2 linked regions of the Alligator mississippiensis genome follow. The protein of the gene in region 1 purifies or fractionates together with the protein of each later gene. This does not show direct contact. Links are inferred from orthologs where the notes say so. Each region holds a gene or a part of one and is shown in the gene's direction. Other genes may lie near its edges.

Evidence for each region.
Region 2: the proteins of SLC39A7 (region 1) and FAM174A purify together in Homo sapiens (co-immunoprecipitation; 3 studies listed by BioGRID and IntAct, with this or other methods). This does not show direct contact. The link is inferred for Alligator mississippiensis from reciprocal best matches to the Homo sapiens genes SLC39A7 and FAM174A.

The regions. Positions count from the first base shown.
Region 1 is NC_081834.1:64,752,334-64,760,211, forward strand, and holds the start of SLC39A7 (zinc transporter SLC39A7), read left to right. Parts: upstream 1-4,863; 5' UTR 4,864-4,972; intron 4,973-5,742; 5' UTR 5,743-5,755; coding exon 5,756-6,352; intron 6,353-6,447; coding exon 6,448-6,616; intron 6,617-6,699; coding exon 6,700-6,777; intron 6,778-6,878; coding exon 6,879-7,016; intron 7,017-7,324; coding exon 7,325-7,474; intron 7,475-7,583; coding exon 7,584-7,780; intron 7,781-7,878. Other genes in the region: RXRB (retinoic acid receptor RXR-beta), read right to left, coding at 643-734, 864-996, 1,238-1,367, 1,553-1,716, 2,289-2,468, 3,051-3,204, 3,861-4,084, 4,485-4,524. UniProt on the Homo sapiens protein: Transports Zn(2+) from the endoplasmic reticulum (ER)/Golgi apparatus to the cytosol, playing an essential role in the regulation of cytosolic zinc levels.
Region 2 is NC_081826.1:235,736,945-235,744,914, reverse strand, and holds the start of FAM174A (membrane protein FAM174A), read left to right. Parts: upstream 1-4,960; 5' UTR 4,961-5,012; coding exon 5,013-5,287; intron 5,288-7,970.

The DNA.
Region 1 (7,878 bases):
GGGGCTGGGATGGAAGACGGGCGTGTGGGAACGTCTCCCTGGGTTAGACTCAAAGCAGAGCAAGCCAGGCGCTCTGGGGGTCACAGCTCACCAAACACTTGCTTGAGGCAGTGTGCGAGCCCCAGCCCAACCCCTCAGATGTCCTGGTCTGGCTGCATCCTCAAACCTCAGCCCAAGGCCCTGAGGTTAAGGCACAGGCAGAGATGCCAAGCAGAGTCCAGACCCTGCTGCAGAAAGGAAGAAACACCTCTGCCCCCCTCCCCAACGCAAGGGGAAGCTCCCTCCTGACCCCAAGGCAGCATCAGGTTGACCCTGAGCTAAGGTGCAATACCCTCCAGGCAGGACCCCTTGGGGGTGACCGCCAGCAGCATTGGGACAGTCCTGTCACTGGCCCCAGTCTGAACTGTAGCCACCACCCAGCGCTGCTGGACCCCTATAGCAGCCGGAGAAAGAAAATCCCCTCTGGCAGAGCCTCCCAGCCTAGGAAACCCCAGCTCCCTCAGCTACGCCCAGCAGCCACAGTGCAGCCCTGACAATGGCAGTGCCAGGGACAATGCCGGTCCCAGGCGCTCCCCGGTTCTGAGTCACTAACTCAGGGCTCAGCTCTGCTTTCCTGCCTGAGCCTGGTCCCTGCCCACGCACCTGGGTTGAAGAGGATGATGGCGCGCAGACAGCCCAGCTCCGTCTTGTCCATGCGCATGTCCCGCATTTTGGACACCAGCTCCGTCAGCACCCTGGAGACAGGGTGGGGGGAACCCGTCAGCTGGGGGGCTGGAACCCCCACCCTGCCCCAGCCGGGGGAGGGGAGGGGAGGGGAGCTCAGTGCTGGCTCCCCAGCCCCCTCGGCCCCCCCCGCCCCCCACCTGTCAAAGATGGCACCGACACCGGCGCTGTGGGCACTGTTGCGATGCACGTGCAGCCCTGTGGCCAGGAGGATGCCGTCCTTCACCGAGATGGAGCGGTGCGAGAATGACGCGATCAGCAGCTCGTTCCAGCCTGCCAGAAGCCAGGGGAACTTGGTCACTACTGGGCCAGCCCCCCCGCAATCTCCAACCCCCTCTACCCTCCATCATTTCCATCTCCAGACCCTCCCACAGTAAAAAAACAGAGCCCAAACCAGCAGGGCAGGGGTAGACATCCTGGCTCCCCTGACCTCCCTATACTTGCCCCCCGCCCCTTCCCCCAAGCCAGCAGGTCTAACTCCTCCTCCTCCTCCCCCCCACCCCCCCACACTCACCGGCCCGCAGCAGGATGACCTGGTCGTCCAGGGGCAGCTCAGAGAAGTGGGGGATGCGCTTGGCCCATTCCACCAGCGTGAACAGCTGCTTGTCGGCTGCTTGGCAGATGTTGGTTACCGGGTCATTGGGCTGCAGGATCGGGATGGGGAGCGGGGTAGGGGGGAAAATCAGAGGCTGGTGCTGCTGGGATCCCCACCGTGCTCCCCCCACGTCCCCAGCACGGAGCTGCAGCCTTCTTCTCCCCCCAGGACTCTTTCCCAGTCCCCACAGGACACCTCCTCTCCCCTCCTCACCCGCCCCTTCCCCCTGCTGACCGAGCTGCCGCCACTGGCCGACCCGTCCACGCTTTGGTCCGACTTCTGCTCCACAGCCAGCTCAGCGTCCAGGATCTTCTCCACTGGCATTTCCTCGTTGGCGCTGGCCCCCAGCTCATTGTCCCCCTCCTTCTCCTTGCCCCGCTGCCGCTCCTCCTGCACCGCTGGGGGGTGGGGGGCGGTCTCCAGGTCAGCCACAGCCCTCCAAACCCCATGGTCCATCCCCCTCTGGCAGCACTAACCCTGCCCCTTTGCCCCCAGCCCCGCCCCAGGGTATGGGAATCTTCCTTCTTCCAGCAGCCAGGCCCTCCTGGGAGGAGCACATTGGCCCCACCCCCTGGGACCTAGCCCCACCCACCCACCCAGCACATTTGCTCTGCTCCCATCAGCCCTGGCCCCATCCCAGCAGGGTTGGCTACACCCCTAGCACTCCTAGCCTTAACCACAGGTGAAATGACTTCACCCTTCCTGCCAGTAGTCTGGCAGTGCTAGCCACACCCCCTAGCCCATAGCCCTGCCCCAAGACAAGTACCTTCATACTTCAAGCTAGTGGTCCCACAGTGCAAGCCCCACCCCCAGGCTCTAGCCCTACCCCCAATCAAGGTAGCACATGCTTCCTGCTCCCTACGTGCTAACCCTGCTCTCAGAATAATACCTTTACCCTTCATACCTCATACTAGTAGCCCAGCAGTGCTAGCTCCAGCCCCAGACCCTAGCCCCGTACCCAGGCAGGTACCTTCGCGCTTCATGCCGGTGGCCAAGCACTTCTGGTAGCGGCAGTACTGGCAGCGGTTGCGCTGGCGCTTGTCCACCACGCAGTCCTTGTTGTCCCGGCACGTATAGGTCAGGTCCTTGCGGATCGTCCGTTTGAAGAAACCCTTGCAGCCCTCACAGCTGTACACGCCATAGTGCTTACCTGCATAGAAGATGCGGGGCTCAGCAAGGACCCTGGTGTCCAGGGCCTGACCTCCAAGCGTGAAAACTCAGCACCTGGGATTCAGCACTCAGCATTTGGGGCCCGGTGCCACCTTCCTACAACCCACCAGATGCAGCAGAGCTAGGGAAGAACCCAGGTTTCTGGTGTCTGGCCAACCACCAAGACTGCACCACTCCTCAGAGCTGTGATCAAACCCAGGCATCCTGGCTCCCAGACCCCTGCTCCCCTCTCCCCAAAGCTGGGACAGAACCCAAGTGCCTGGGCTCTTCACGGCCCCAAACCCCACTGCTCCCCAGAGGTGGAAGAGCAAAACCCAGGCATCCTAGCTGTCAGCCCTCACCCACTTTAACTCACCAGATCCCCCTAAGTGACAGAGATGAGACAGGAGAACCAGACATCCAAGCTGGCAGCCTCTCCCTGCTTTAACCCACCAGACCCTGCTGCGCCCCAGAGCAGGTAGGAACCCAGGGATCCAGGCTCCCCCCTAGCACTGTAACCCAGCAGGAGACAGGAGCCCAAGGTAAGGCCCAGGTGTCTTGCCCTGCTCTGCACCCCCTGTACCTGATGACCTGTCCCCACAGATGGCGCAGAGGCGCTTCCCAGGCATCATGCCACCGTGGGGGTGGCAGGGAACCCCCCGCATGCCCAACGGCGGCTTCACGTCATCTGAGCTGCTCACCGAGTGCAGCCCTGACAGGTTCACCGTGGAGTTGATCTGTGCCGGGAAGAGCAGAGAGGCATGAACAACTGGTGCCTCCTGAGACTGGGGGGGGGGGGGCGGCACCACCATTTGTAAATGGCAGCGTCAGTGGGGGAGGGGGGCAAGCAGCGAGCGGGGCCCATCCAGACACCACTGGCGACAGCGAGGCAGGTGCACGCGGTAAGCGGCGACCACCCGCACAAGCCAGCAGCGGCCAATCTCAGCCCCCCCCAACGTGCCCCGTCTACCAGTTGCTTATGGGGAGGGGAGAAGGGATCAGTGCGGGGAGCGAGCCACACGCCCCCACCCAGCTGCACTGGGGGAGCACCTGCCCCTAATCCCCTGCCCACCCGCCAAGGCTGGGGGGAGCCCCTGCCCTGCCCACTCCCCGCAAAGCCTTTGCGCCCCCTCGGGCCACCAGGACCCCCTCGGGTCACCTGCGATGCCCCCTGGTGACCCCCTCAGGCCACCCGAAATCCCCTCCATACCCTCACTACAACCAAGACCACCCCCCTCCCCCGCGACCCCTTGGTGGCCCAGCCACCCCTGGGTGACCCGCGACCCCCCCCCCCTGCCCCCTTGGAGGTCCGGCCACCCCTGGGTGACCCCGTGACCCCCCCGCGACCCCTGGGTGACCCGCGTGATGGCGGCGCGGCGCGGCGCGGCCCTACCTGCGGGCTGCTGACGGGCCCGTAGCCGACGGCGGGCGTGGCGGGCAGGCCGGGGGAGCCCATGGAGGAGCTGATGACGGGGAAGGGGGAGCCGAGGCTGGCGCCGGGCGAGCCCAGGGCGGAGGTCATGGCCGCACCGATCATGGAGGGCGGCAGCGGGGCCGGGGGCTCCGGCGGGGGCGGCGGCGACGAGCTGAGCGACGAGCTGTCCGGGCTGCGGCAGTCTGGGGGAGGGGTCACGGGGCTGTGACCTCTGACCCCGCGACCCCGCCCCACCCCGCCCTCGCGCCCACGCCCGCCGCACGTGACCCCCCCCCGTCGCCATGGCAACAGCCCCGCGCTCACCGCGGTCGCTGTCTCCCATCCCGCCCCGCCCCGCCCGGGGGCTCCGGGCCGCGCACCCCCGGGCTCCGGCCTGCTCCGCCGCCGCGGGACCCGCACTCCCACACTGCACCGCGCCGCCGCCCGCCCCGGCCCGGCCCGGCATGCCCCGCGCGCGCCTGCACGGCCGCCGTCGTCCCGGCCTGCACCGCGCCGCGGCCCGCTGTCCCTCGCTGTCACCATAGAGACGGCGCGTCCCGCTCGGTCCCCGCGCGCGACCCGCCAAACCGCCTTCACACGCACCATAGAGACGAGGCTCCCACGCCCGCTCCCCCTGCACCATAGAGACAGTTCATTCCAAACAGTCCTCCCGTGACCGTGGGGACGCGGTGTCCCGCACCTGTGCACACCCCTTGTGAGTCACCGGGGCGGGCACGTCCCAGACTGTCCGCTCTTGGGCTGGGAGGGGGGTTAGAAACTTCATCATCCCGCAACAAAGATGGCGGTCGCTAGTCCGGCCTTCCCCTGCCCCTCACAAAGATGGCTCCCGGACACTGCAGGGCTGCCATGTCGGTGAGGGCAAGATTAGGTCATGCGCGGCCGCCATTTTTGTGAGGGGCAAGCCCGCCTTGACAGGGTGCTTCCCGGGCCTGTGGCGGCCGCCATGTTTGTGAGGGGCAGCGCCTTCCGCGTCGGAGGGGCCGACGCTGAGGGCTGGTCCCGCGAGATGCTGCGGGGCGGAGCCTGAGTGCCACGTAAGGGCGAGCCTGAGGTAGCGGATCCCAGGCACGGTGAGCAACCCCCAGGGCACAAAGACGGGCAGGGGCAGAGGGGCCAGGTCCCCCCGGGGCGTAGAGCGGCACGGGTGGCGCCCCACAGGGGCACGCGGCGGTGGACGGCCGGGCCCATAGAGACAAGCGGGAGCTAGAGGGGCCGCCCGGCGCCGGAGGAGCGCCGCGGAGCCCTTCTGTGGGCCATAGGGACAGAGCGAAGGCTGGCCGGAGCGGCAGCTCATGGCCTCCTTCCCCGTGGCCACAGAGACGAGGGGCGGCGCGTGGACCGCGAGGCTAGAAGGGCCCTGGGTGCGGGGACCATAGAAACCTCTGGGTGGCGAGGGCCGGAAGGGCCAGCCGGATGTGAGGACGTGGGCAAGAGGAGACGGGCGCCCCCAGCGACGCTCTAGCTGCTCTCCCGTCCGTCTCTATGACCCAGTCCATGGTGGCGCTTTCCCTGGGACGCGCAGAACCACGTGACCCTCAGCGAACGCCTCCGCAGGCACCACTCTAGGCCCCTCCTTCCTACTCTATGTTGCATCCTGCCGCCCCGCCCCCCCCCCCCCATGAGTCTGTAGGGTTGTGTCTCCCTTGCCTCCCTGGAGCTGGGCTGGGGGTGTCTGGACCCCCTCCCTTGCCCCTATGATCTTGCTCTACCTCCCCTCAGATCTTTCCCCATCCCTTCGTCCCCAGCCTGTGGCCCTGCACTGACCCCCTCCCTCCTCGGGACGTGCAGGGGGCAGCATGGGCCTGACAGCGAGGGGCATATTTCCCCTCCCTCTTCCCAGCAGCGGCAGTACAATGGCAGCCCCTCGCCTAGCGCGGAGCCGAACAGGACTCTGCAGCCCACTCGCAGTCATGGTGGCCTGCGTGGTGTTGATACCGACCGCCTCCCAGCATGAGGACTTCCATGGCCACTCGCACGAGGGCTTGCACCACGGGCACAGCCATGCTGCCCACGGCCACTCGCATGAGGACCATGGCCATGGCCACTCGCACAAGCACCCGGACCATGGCCACAGCCACGCCGACCACGGCCACTCGCATGAAGACTTCTCCCACGGGCACAGCCACGCTCACCATAGCCACGTGCACGAGGACTTCCATGACCATGGCCACGTGCACGAGGACTTCCACGGCCATGGCCACGTGCACGAGGACTTCCACGGCCATGGCCACGTGCACGAGGACTTCCATGGCCATAGCCATGCTCACCATGGCCATTCGCACAATGACCTGCACCATGGCCATGATCACTTGCACGTTGACATCCACCTGGGTCATGCCCACGAGGGTCTCCATGGCCCTGGGCAGGCTGATGCTAGGCACCCTGCAGAGGACTCCCCCAGCCAGCAGCTGCCACAGGAGCGGCTGGACCCAGTCCAGTTGTGGACCCATGTAAGTTCCTGCATAGCATGATGGAGGCGTCATGAGCTGCACACCAGGGCTCCAGTGGCTGCCTGACTACGTCTCTCCTCTCTTTCACTCTCCAGGCCGTGGGTGCCACGCTGCTGATCAGCGCTGCCCCTTACTTCATTCTCTTCCTCATTCCTGTGGAGTCCAACACGTCCCAGCACCAGGCCCTGCTCAAGCTGCTGCTCAGCTTTGCCTCAGGAGGGCTCCTGGGAGATGCCTTCCTGCACCTCATCCCCCACGCCCTGGGTGAGTCCCAGGCTGGCTTGGGAGGGGGCAGGGGCTGTGCCCCTGCCTTCATCCCTGATCTCTCTGGCCTCTTCCCTCCCCAGTGCCCCATTCCCACCACGCAGAGGGCAGCCACACCCACTCCCACCCACAGGTGCCTGGACACGGACATTCCCACCAAGGTAAAGGTGGGGGTGAGCAGGGGAGGGGGGAGCATGTTGGGTACAGGGTGGCTAAGCTGCAGCCACACCCTGACCCCCTGCGCTGGTCCTGCCACCCCCAGGGCCAGAGCATGAGCAGATGATGTCAGTGGGGATCTGGGTGCTGGCCGGGATTGTTGCCTTCCTGGTGGTGGAGAAATTTGTGCGACACGTGAAGGGGGGACACGGACATGGGCACAGCCACAATGGGCAAAGCCACGGTACGTGCAGTCTAGGAACACCCCTCTTCTTCCTGGGCCCCTACAGTCTCCCTCCAGCCACATTCCTGGTCCCTGCTGGGGCTCAGGGAATTTCATTAGGACCCGCCATCGCAGCCTGTGAGGCAGAGCCTTCATCTCCCTGCTAGCAAGGGCTGGGGAGCTCCTGTCCCCAGCAGGTAGCTCTCAGAGGGGTCATACATAATCCCTGAGGAGGGGGAGGGGGCTCCTGAGGGGATGGGGCCGGGGGGTGGTGCGGGGGTCCCTGTAACCTTGTGTACATGATCTCATGCCCCATTGTCTCTCCATAGCCCCCAAGGCAAAGAGCAGCTCCGGAGAGGAGGATGAGGGGCCCCGGGTCGAAGGGCTGCGGGAGAGGAAGGCCGGCCGGAGTGGTGTCCCCGACATGGCAGTGCAGAGGAAGAGAGGCCAGGAGCGCGAGCCGGGGACCCTGGAGTCCAGTGAGAGAGGGGGCAAGGGGGCTGGGATTTAGGTCGGGGCTAGAGGGGGGAGGCACAGGATAGGGAGTCCTTCGCTCTCACTGGCCCCCACCCCTGTCCCCCACTGCAGCGATGCGGGTGTCAGGCTACCTGAACCTGGCAGCCGACCTGGCACACAACTTCACAGACGGGCTGGCCATCGGGGCCTCCTTTCTGGCGGGCACCGGCGTGGGGGCTGTGACCACGCTCACTGTTCTGCTGCACGAGGTGCCCCATGAGGTCGGGGACTTCGCCATCCTCGTTCAGTCTGGCTGCAGCAAGCGCAAGGTAACATGGACCCACTCCCTTCCCACCCCCTCCCCTGGGAGTCACCCTCCAGGACCTCCGTCCCTTAGGGGGCATCCTGATGTCCAGCCATGTCTGGA
Region 2 (7,970 bases), on another chromosome or scaffold:
GCTCCTTGGAGGCAGAGGGGGATGGAGAGAGGGGAAAATGGGCCTGGACCCAAAGCAGCAGGGCGGGAGCAGGGGGGGAATGGGGCTGGACGCAGGGCTCCATCCCCCCCACCCCACCCATGACAACAGGGACTGAAGAGCCAGAGCAGGTGGGTGAAGCCTGTGGTGCTGGGCTCATCCCCTCACTCTTGCACATGGGGCCAGATGCAGAGGGTGGGGGAGGGTGCATGGGGCCGGAGGCAGATGCAGCCTCACCGCCACATACAACAGCATCCTGTGTGGGGTGCTGGTGGCACAGCGCTGGCCTGGCCTCTCCCGCTCTGGCGCATGGGGCCGGATGCAGGGGTGGGGGTGGGACACACAGGGCCAGAGGCAGAGCGGCAGCACCGTGGGGCGCTGAGTGCCAGCACTCTGTTCCCGCCAGTCTGCCTCCTGCCCCTGCAGGTGATTCTTGATGGGCAATTGGCTAGTATATGTATAATAGTAATCTAAAAATGTCTGCAACATGTCTTTATAAAACTGACAGCCAAATTCCATCTTAAAATATTTTCTAATCTTCTACTGAATTTCATAGTTCTCCTAGTTTGCACATAATAGAGAGGAAAAAGCCAAGCACAGGCCTTCTCATACACTTTTGTTCTATTTTTTTGTACCAGACTTTTCCTTTACTTTACTTTTACTTGGATGGAGGTGAAAACAAATAGACTCAAATGATGATCTTCTCAGGTATTATCATTAATTTAATATTACTACTAAATAATTAGAACATGCAGGATTTGGAACTGTTGACTCAGAGCATACTGACTAATATATGTATATTTTCTTTTTGTAGGTAACATGAGAACCTGCACCTGTACATTCTGAGAGCTGGAATATGGATTGAAAGACTATCATCTGCAAACTGCTACTTCATTTCCCAGGACCCACGAAAACCATTCTGCAGGGATTAAAGTAAGAGCAGATAGATGTCTTCTGTATAATGCCCTCTAGATCTCCTAATATCAGAAAGTACACAGGCAGTTTTACTTAAACCAGCAGAAAGAACTGGAACATGCATTGTTTCAGAATTCCTCAGTGTCTTCCTGAGTTATCACTTTATTTCCTGATGAAAAGCCCCCTGCCCAGACGTTCTTGACACACACATAATGATCTGCAATGCAATTTCTCAGCTCTCACAATTCATCTACAAGATCTATCTTGAGAATTCAAAAAGAATTGCCCAATTTCGGTTTTCTCAAAGTAAAAGTCAAGTAAGTTCCATTAATTTTAATGGACAATTTAGCAGTCTCAAGGTCTTTACTGGCTCTTATGATCTGTCATCCTTTGGAGTTAAGACATATGAAAGGTAAAGTTCGTTTTCCACTGTAAGTGAGATGATTTCTACAATTTACAAAGGAAATGTAGGAATATAACCCCAAGTAATCTCTTTCAGAAATTCTGTGCATCAGAATGATTGCAGAATGTCACCATTTGTGTTTTTTCCTCCTCCTTTTCCTTTTCCAGTTCCCAAATAATAAATGAGTATTAGTTACAAGCTTATAAACTTGGCTGACTTTATATACTGGCTCTCAGACTTACCTGAAATCATATGGATTGCAGCTTTAAAACAATAGTATCTGAACTGGACAATGAATGTGTTTCAATAATATATTGAAAAATCCCATAATTTATATCTCACTCATTAATTTGTTATTGTTTACTAGCCCTATATGCTATAGACATCTGTTGGATGTTAAAAAGTGGCATTACAATTTCAAATCTGTTCATCTGGGGGAAAAGCAAACAAATCATCTCAAATCCAAGACATTTCACTAACAGTACATTTAACTGTTTTTTTTTAACTTTCTTTAAAATTATTAAGCAAGTGCAACTTTTGTCATCTGAACTCCAGGAAAGCCAAGCATCTTGTAGGCCAGTAATTTGGGAAAGCTCCTAAAGCTCTTCACCCCTGGATTGTCTGTGCATCAACACCTAAAACTACTTTTAAGCACTCAATGGGCAGCTCAAAGTGATGCTACTCTAGGTCAGGACTAGCTCTGATTCATGTAACCCAGCTCATGTTACACTAAAGTGCTGTGCTGGCTCCTCTTCCCTGCTGACCTGCTGCCCCCCACACTTCTCAGCAACCCAGAGCCCTTCTCACTGTTCTCACTGCTCCTCGCCCTTCCCCATTTACCTGTGGCTGCCTGGTTAACTCTTCCCTGCCTGCTCCCTTGGGACAGATGGCCATGAAGGGCTGACTGCCAGTCCGCAGGAGGGCTGGCTGCTGGACTGGAAGTGACTGCATACCAGCAAACTGCGGACTAGTAGCCAACCCTTTTTTACATTTGGCTGCCTGCCCGCAGTATGCCAGTCACTACTGGTCCACAGTTTGCTAGTCCACAGTCACTTCCAGTCCATGGTTTGCCAGTCCTCAGCATAAAAAGGTTGGGAACCAGTGCTTCAGACTAACTCGGCTGACTACCCCACCCAGGGGTGGATCCAAGGGGGCTGCACTTGCACCTCCCTTTGATTCGACTCAAAGTTTAAAACCAGCTGCTTTGCAGTGACAGCATTTCTGTCAGGCGGTACTGAGGGAGTCAACTAACTTTCTGGCTCGTTGTCACATACTGGATCCTTTCTAAACTCTCTGCTCCCTAGGTATTAACAACCCCTCTCTTCTGTTTTAATGGTGTGGATGTTCCACCACTGAAGCTGGCCTCTGTTCTGCACCTCTGCTGTCTGTTGACTACTCCTGGCATGAATGACCGGTGCCTCCCAAGAGGGCTGACTGGGGGGATGACTGGAGGGCCAGCATTTGTAGGTGTTGGGAGTGAGCAGCAAGTGGGGACTACCCACAGATGCCGTTGGCAGTAGCAGGGGGGAGAGGGGTGGCGAGCAGGGACCACCTGCAATCGCTGCCAGCGGCAGCGAGGGGGGGGTAGTGAGTGGTGAGTGACCACCTGCAGATTCTTGCTGCTGGGGGGGGGGGGGGAGGGCGGGGCGCGAGTGGTGAGCACTCGCAGAAGCCGGCAGCGCCATCGACCAATCTCAGTGTGAATCTTCAGTCTTAAAGAGAAGCACACAGCCCTGGGCCCCTGGCATATTGACAAAGCTACTAGTTTGTCTTTACCTGGAGACGCCAGTCAGATGGATTGCACATTGTCTGAGGGGTTGTACTCAGAAAGTGGTGGTGGATGGGTCATTTTGAACCTGGAGGGAAGCGGGCAGTGGGGTTCCCCAGGGCTCGGTCCTCGGGCCCGCACTGTTCAATTTCTTTATTAGTGACTTGGACAATGAGGTGAAGAGCAGCCTGTTTAAATTCACAGATGACACCAAGATTTGGGGTGAGGTGGGAAGGGAAGAACAGATTATAGCAGGACCTGGACAGGTTACAGGGGTGGGCAAATGAAAGTAGGATGGGATTCAATACTGACAAGTGCAGGGTGCTGCACTTGGGCAGTAGGAACCAGCAGCATACCTATAGGCTGGGGAATTCCCTTCTCGAAAGCATGGTGGCAGAAAGAGATCTTGGGGTCATTATTGACTCCAAGATGAACACGGGCCGATAATGCGAGAACATGGTCAGTAGGGCTAACCGTACTTTGTCGTGCATCCACAGATGCACCACAAGCAGGGCCAAGGTGATCCTCCCCCTCTACGCGATGCTGATCAGCATTGAGAGGGTCCAAAGGAGGGCCACCCGCATGATCCGGGGACAGCAGGGCAGACCCTACGAGGAGGGGCTACAGGACTTTAACCTGTTCAGCCTCCACAAGAGAAGGCTGAGGGGGGACTTGGTGGCCATCTATAAACTTACTAGTGTAGACCAACAGGGTTTGGAAGAGACCTTGTTCCCCCTGAGCACCTCCCAGAGTAACAAGGAATAACGGCCATAAGTTGCTAGAGAGTAGGTTTAGACTAGAACTCAGGAGGCACTATTTCACTGCCAGGGCAGCTAGGATCTGGAATCAACTTCCAAGGGAAGTGGTGCTGGCTCCTACCCCGGGGGTCTTTAAGAGGAGGCTCGATGTTTACCAGGCTGGGGTCATTTGAGCCCAGCTTTCTCTCCTGCCCAGGGCAGGGGGTTGGACTAGATCTACAAGGTCCCTTCCGACCCTATATCTATGAATCTATAAGGCTGCAGGTTTGATCATGAGACACAAGACCCCCCCTGCCTTGGGCTGGGGGTTGGACTAGATCAGTGATTCTCAACCTATGGGTCGCAAAAATATATGAAAGTGTTGTGAACAAACCTTTCAAAAATGGATCAAGGGGAAAAAAGTGGGAAGCTGTGGCCTTTCCCTTGCAGGCTGGCAGAGTTGCAGCCTGCGAGGAGCTACTTGGGGCCCCCCATCCTGCCCCGCACACTGGGAGGCTGGGGGTGGGGGGCACTGGGTCAGGACTGGCCATCAACATTTACAAATGGGTTCTGGTACAAAAAAAGTTTGAGAAGTGCTGGACTCGATGGCTTCTTTAAGTTCCTTTTAAGCCTACTCCTCTGCTTTGTAAACCCATGGGTTGCTTTACCGGCCATGATGCACTCCGCTTCCGTGCAACCCCAGGTCCGCCCCGACCCGGGACAAAGGGCTTGAGGCTGTGGAGCTGAGAGGGGGAGCACTGACTGCAGCCTCGTGCTTAGGACACTAGAGAAGTAGAAAGAGGCTGATCTGTCTCCAAGGTCCTGCCACAAGGCAGGTCTGACCCTGGGATTGAACCCAGACCCCGCCCACCAACCGCCTGCCCCAGGCCGCGGGCACCAGATGGTGGAAGCCACCAAGCTCCCAGCGGAGCGGCTTTAAGCCTGTGACTCAAGCACAAGGGACCGCCCCGGCGCCTCAGCCGCGCATGCGCAGACCCCCTCCCCCGCAGGGGCTGGGAGCTCAGCGCCTCGGTCACGTGATGGCAACAGCCGGGCCGGCGGGAGCGTCCGTGGCAGCGCCCTCAGCGCGGGCTTCCGGTTCCGGCGCCGCAGCAGGGCCCGGCCGCGCTTAGGCCGCGGGGCGCGGGGAGGCGGCGGCCGGGCCGGCGCCATGGGGCCGGCGCTGCGCTGGCTGCTGGCCGGGCTGGTTCTGGGCGCACTGGGCGCGGAGCCCCGGGCCGAGCAGCAGCAGCCCCGCTCGCCGTCCCTCACCGCCGCCCCCGGCGGGGCCACGCCGAGCGGCGGCAGTAGCAGCAGCAGCGGTAGCGGCCTGCCTGCCGTGTCGGCGCCGGCCCCGCAGACCCCGCCCATGACCCAGCGCGCCCTGTCCGTGCTCGTGCTGGCCAGCGCCGCCCTCATTGTCTACTTCGTCATCCGGACCGTGCGGTGAGCGCCGCGCCGCGCCGTGCCGTGCTAGGCACCCCCACTTCCCACCCCCTTTTCCCATGGGGTTGCTGCTCGCGCCCTCCCCCGCGGCCCGCGGGCCACAGCCCAGCACCTGTGCTCGGGGCCGGTGTCCGCTCAGCTTCCAGCCCCACCAGGTTGCGACGATGGGGCCCTGGGCAGAAAGGCTGGCGAAGTGTCCCGTCTAAGCTGCTGTTGGACACTGTGGCCTGTGCAAAATGGGAGGCTTGGTAGGGCTTCTGAATTAGAGCTTCCTGCACCTTAAGGGCGCCTCTGCACAAGCAGAACTGAGGCTGTAGCGACAGCGCCTTAGAGCAGGCTCGATTAATCGCCTCAGTCACACGATGGCCAATTCATTGAGTCTGCTGGAGCATGGTAATTACCGCGACGCAGGAAGCTCCTGCATCACGTGTATCAGCGTCCCTGCGCTGGAAAATGTCAGCAGGGGTGCTTCAACTAAAGCTCGTTTAAGTTCCCCTGCTGCCATTTTTTATCGCAGGAATACTGGTGCGCGTGACGCTCGGGGCACTTTAATTAGAGCACTGTAATTAAAGCGCCCCACCCCTCCACTCCCAGAGCACAAGTATAAATGCGTAAGTACTGGAGGCTGCAAGTGAAAGGGGAACAGTTGAAGGAAAAAATCCTGGTTGTAGCCAGTTCGTTCTTCCTGTCTGCTGCTGTGTGACGCAGGCCTGTTTGACACATAGGGTTAATTCAGGCTTGATGCCCATGGCGTAATAGTTATACTCCATCATGGACGATTGGTGCCTTCTGAGTCAGGGAGGACGCTTGCTCTCCAGTGGCTAGTCAGCAACCAGAAGTGCCAGCAGCGCTTCTCCTGGCAGCCCTACTCCCCGGCTGGTGCTCTCAGGGAGGGCACAAGTGCTCCCACCTGCCCCCCCACCTGTCACCTAAGGGAATGCTGGCTGTCAGGGGCCCCCCGCTGGCTGTCAAGGGGTGCACCAGCGCTCTCAGGAGGTGCACATGCACCCCTTTGCACCCCCTGCGCATCGTCATTGGCTTCTGCCCTGTTATAGTTTCATAGTAGGTAGGGTCAGAAGGGACCCAAGTAGATCATCAAGTCCAACCCCCTGCCACGGGCAGGAAAGAATGCTGGGGTCAAACGAGCCCGGCTAGGTGATTATCCAGCCTCCTTTTGAAGACCCCCAGGGTAGGATATTGGGGCAGGGAGAACTATTGGTTATACATCAGTTGATTTGGGAGGAGAACTAAAGAGAAAACAGGAGCAGGAGTGAGGTCATAGGTTGAAAACAAGTGCCCCAAGGGGGGACACCAAGCAGAGTATGCTGGGCTGAGTGGCATAAGCCTGTTTGACACACAGGGCCTTTAGCCCACAGAGAAAGTTAGTTCCCCATGTTAATAGAGGGAGTTATTGGATATGTGTCAGCTAAACTCATGGGACAAATAAAAGACAAAAGAGGAGCAGCAGTGAAGTTTTATAGGATAAAAATCAGTGCGTCAAGGGGGGATGCCAAGCAGAGCACACCAGACTGAGAGAGAGAGAGAGGCCCGTTTGCCACTTTGAGGGATTGTGGGCCAGTGCCCATGTAAAACTAAAAGCCTTCCTCAGAAAGGGAGGCTACCAGGCAAGTAGCAACTGATTTATGGGGACAAATGATAACAAAACAGGGACAGGAGTGAGGGTCAAAGGTGTATAACTAGTATACTGAAGAGGGGCACTGAGTAGAGCACACTGGGCTGAGTGACAGAGGCAACTGGGCAAGACAGGTCTATGGTTTGACCCAGTAAATGAACAGTTGTGTTCAGCCCAGAGGTCCTTGTTTGGCAGTTGTAATGTTAGTATAACAAACATTTCATGTCACTCTGATCCCCCAAAGGCTAACACTAGGTTTTGAGTATGTTTGCAGTGCTGCTGAAAGAATTCCCTTGCTAGCTTGTTTTTAGTATAGCACCATGATTTCGCTGACTCTTTTACCAGGACTGCTTTTTTCCCCACTATATCAAACATTTGCATTTAAGTTTTAATACTTTTCGTTGTTATTTCTAAAGCTTTTCATGGATTAATCCTCCCCTTCTTTAAGCCAGTGAGTCTACTCATTGTTGCACAGCTGTCAATTTTTCTTTTTTCTTATTTTTCTTTGTGCTTTCCCCCACATTACTACAAAAGCTCCTCCCTTTAAAATCACCACTATATTATCCTCCTTTTAATTTCTGCATAGAAGTCAGTCATTGTTTGCCTGCAAAATGCTGAATGGTACATAGGTAGCTGTAGTAGAGAGATTGCTACTGGGTACACTAGCCATAACTATCTCTGAACTTCTTTTGCTTTTCCACTTCTTTCTATTGCCCTGTTTCTTCCTTTGTTCTGTAACCTGTTCAGGTTAGAGCCCTTTTTTGTGTGTATGCTTGAAGTATCTGGTAAACTGAGGTTTCTAGAAACTATTCTACAAATAATGATTTGTAGGGGAAAAAACAGCATCTCCCAAACTTCAGGCAGACACCAGAGATGCAAGCCAGAGAGGTCTGAGAACTCACACTCTGGAATTTCTTTCCCTTTTTCTTTTCTTGATTTATATTTTGCCTCTCCCCAAAAAATGGTCAGAACAGCTTACAACAGAAGGGGAAAAAAAACCCTTATAAGACAGGTAAAATATTAAGATTATATAAGGTACATAACAAAAAC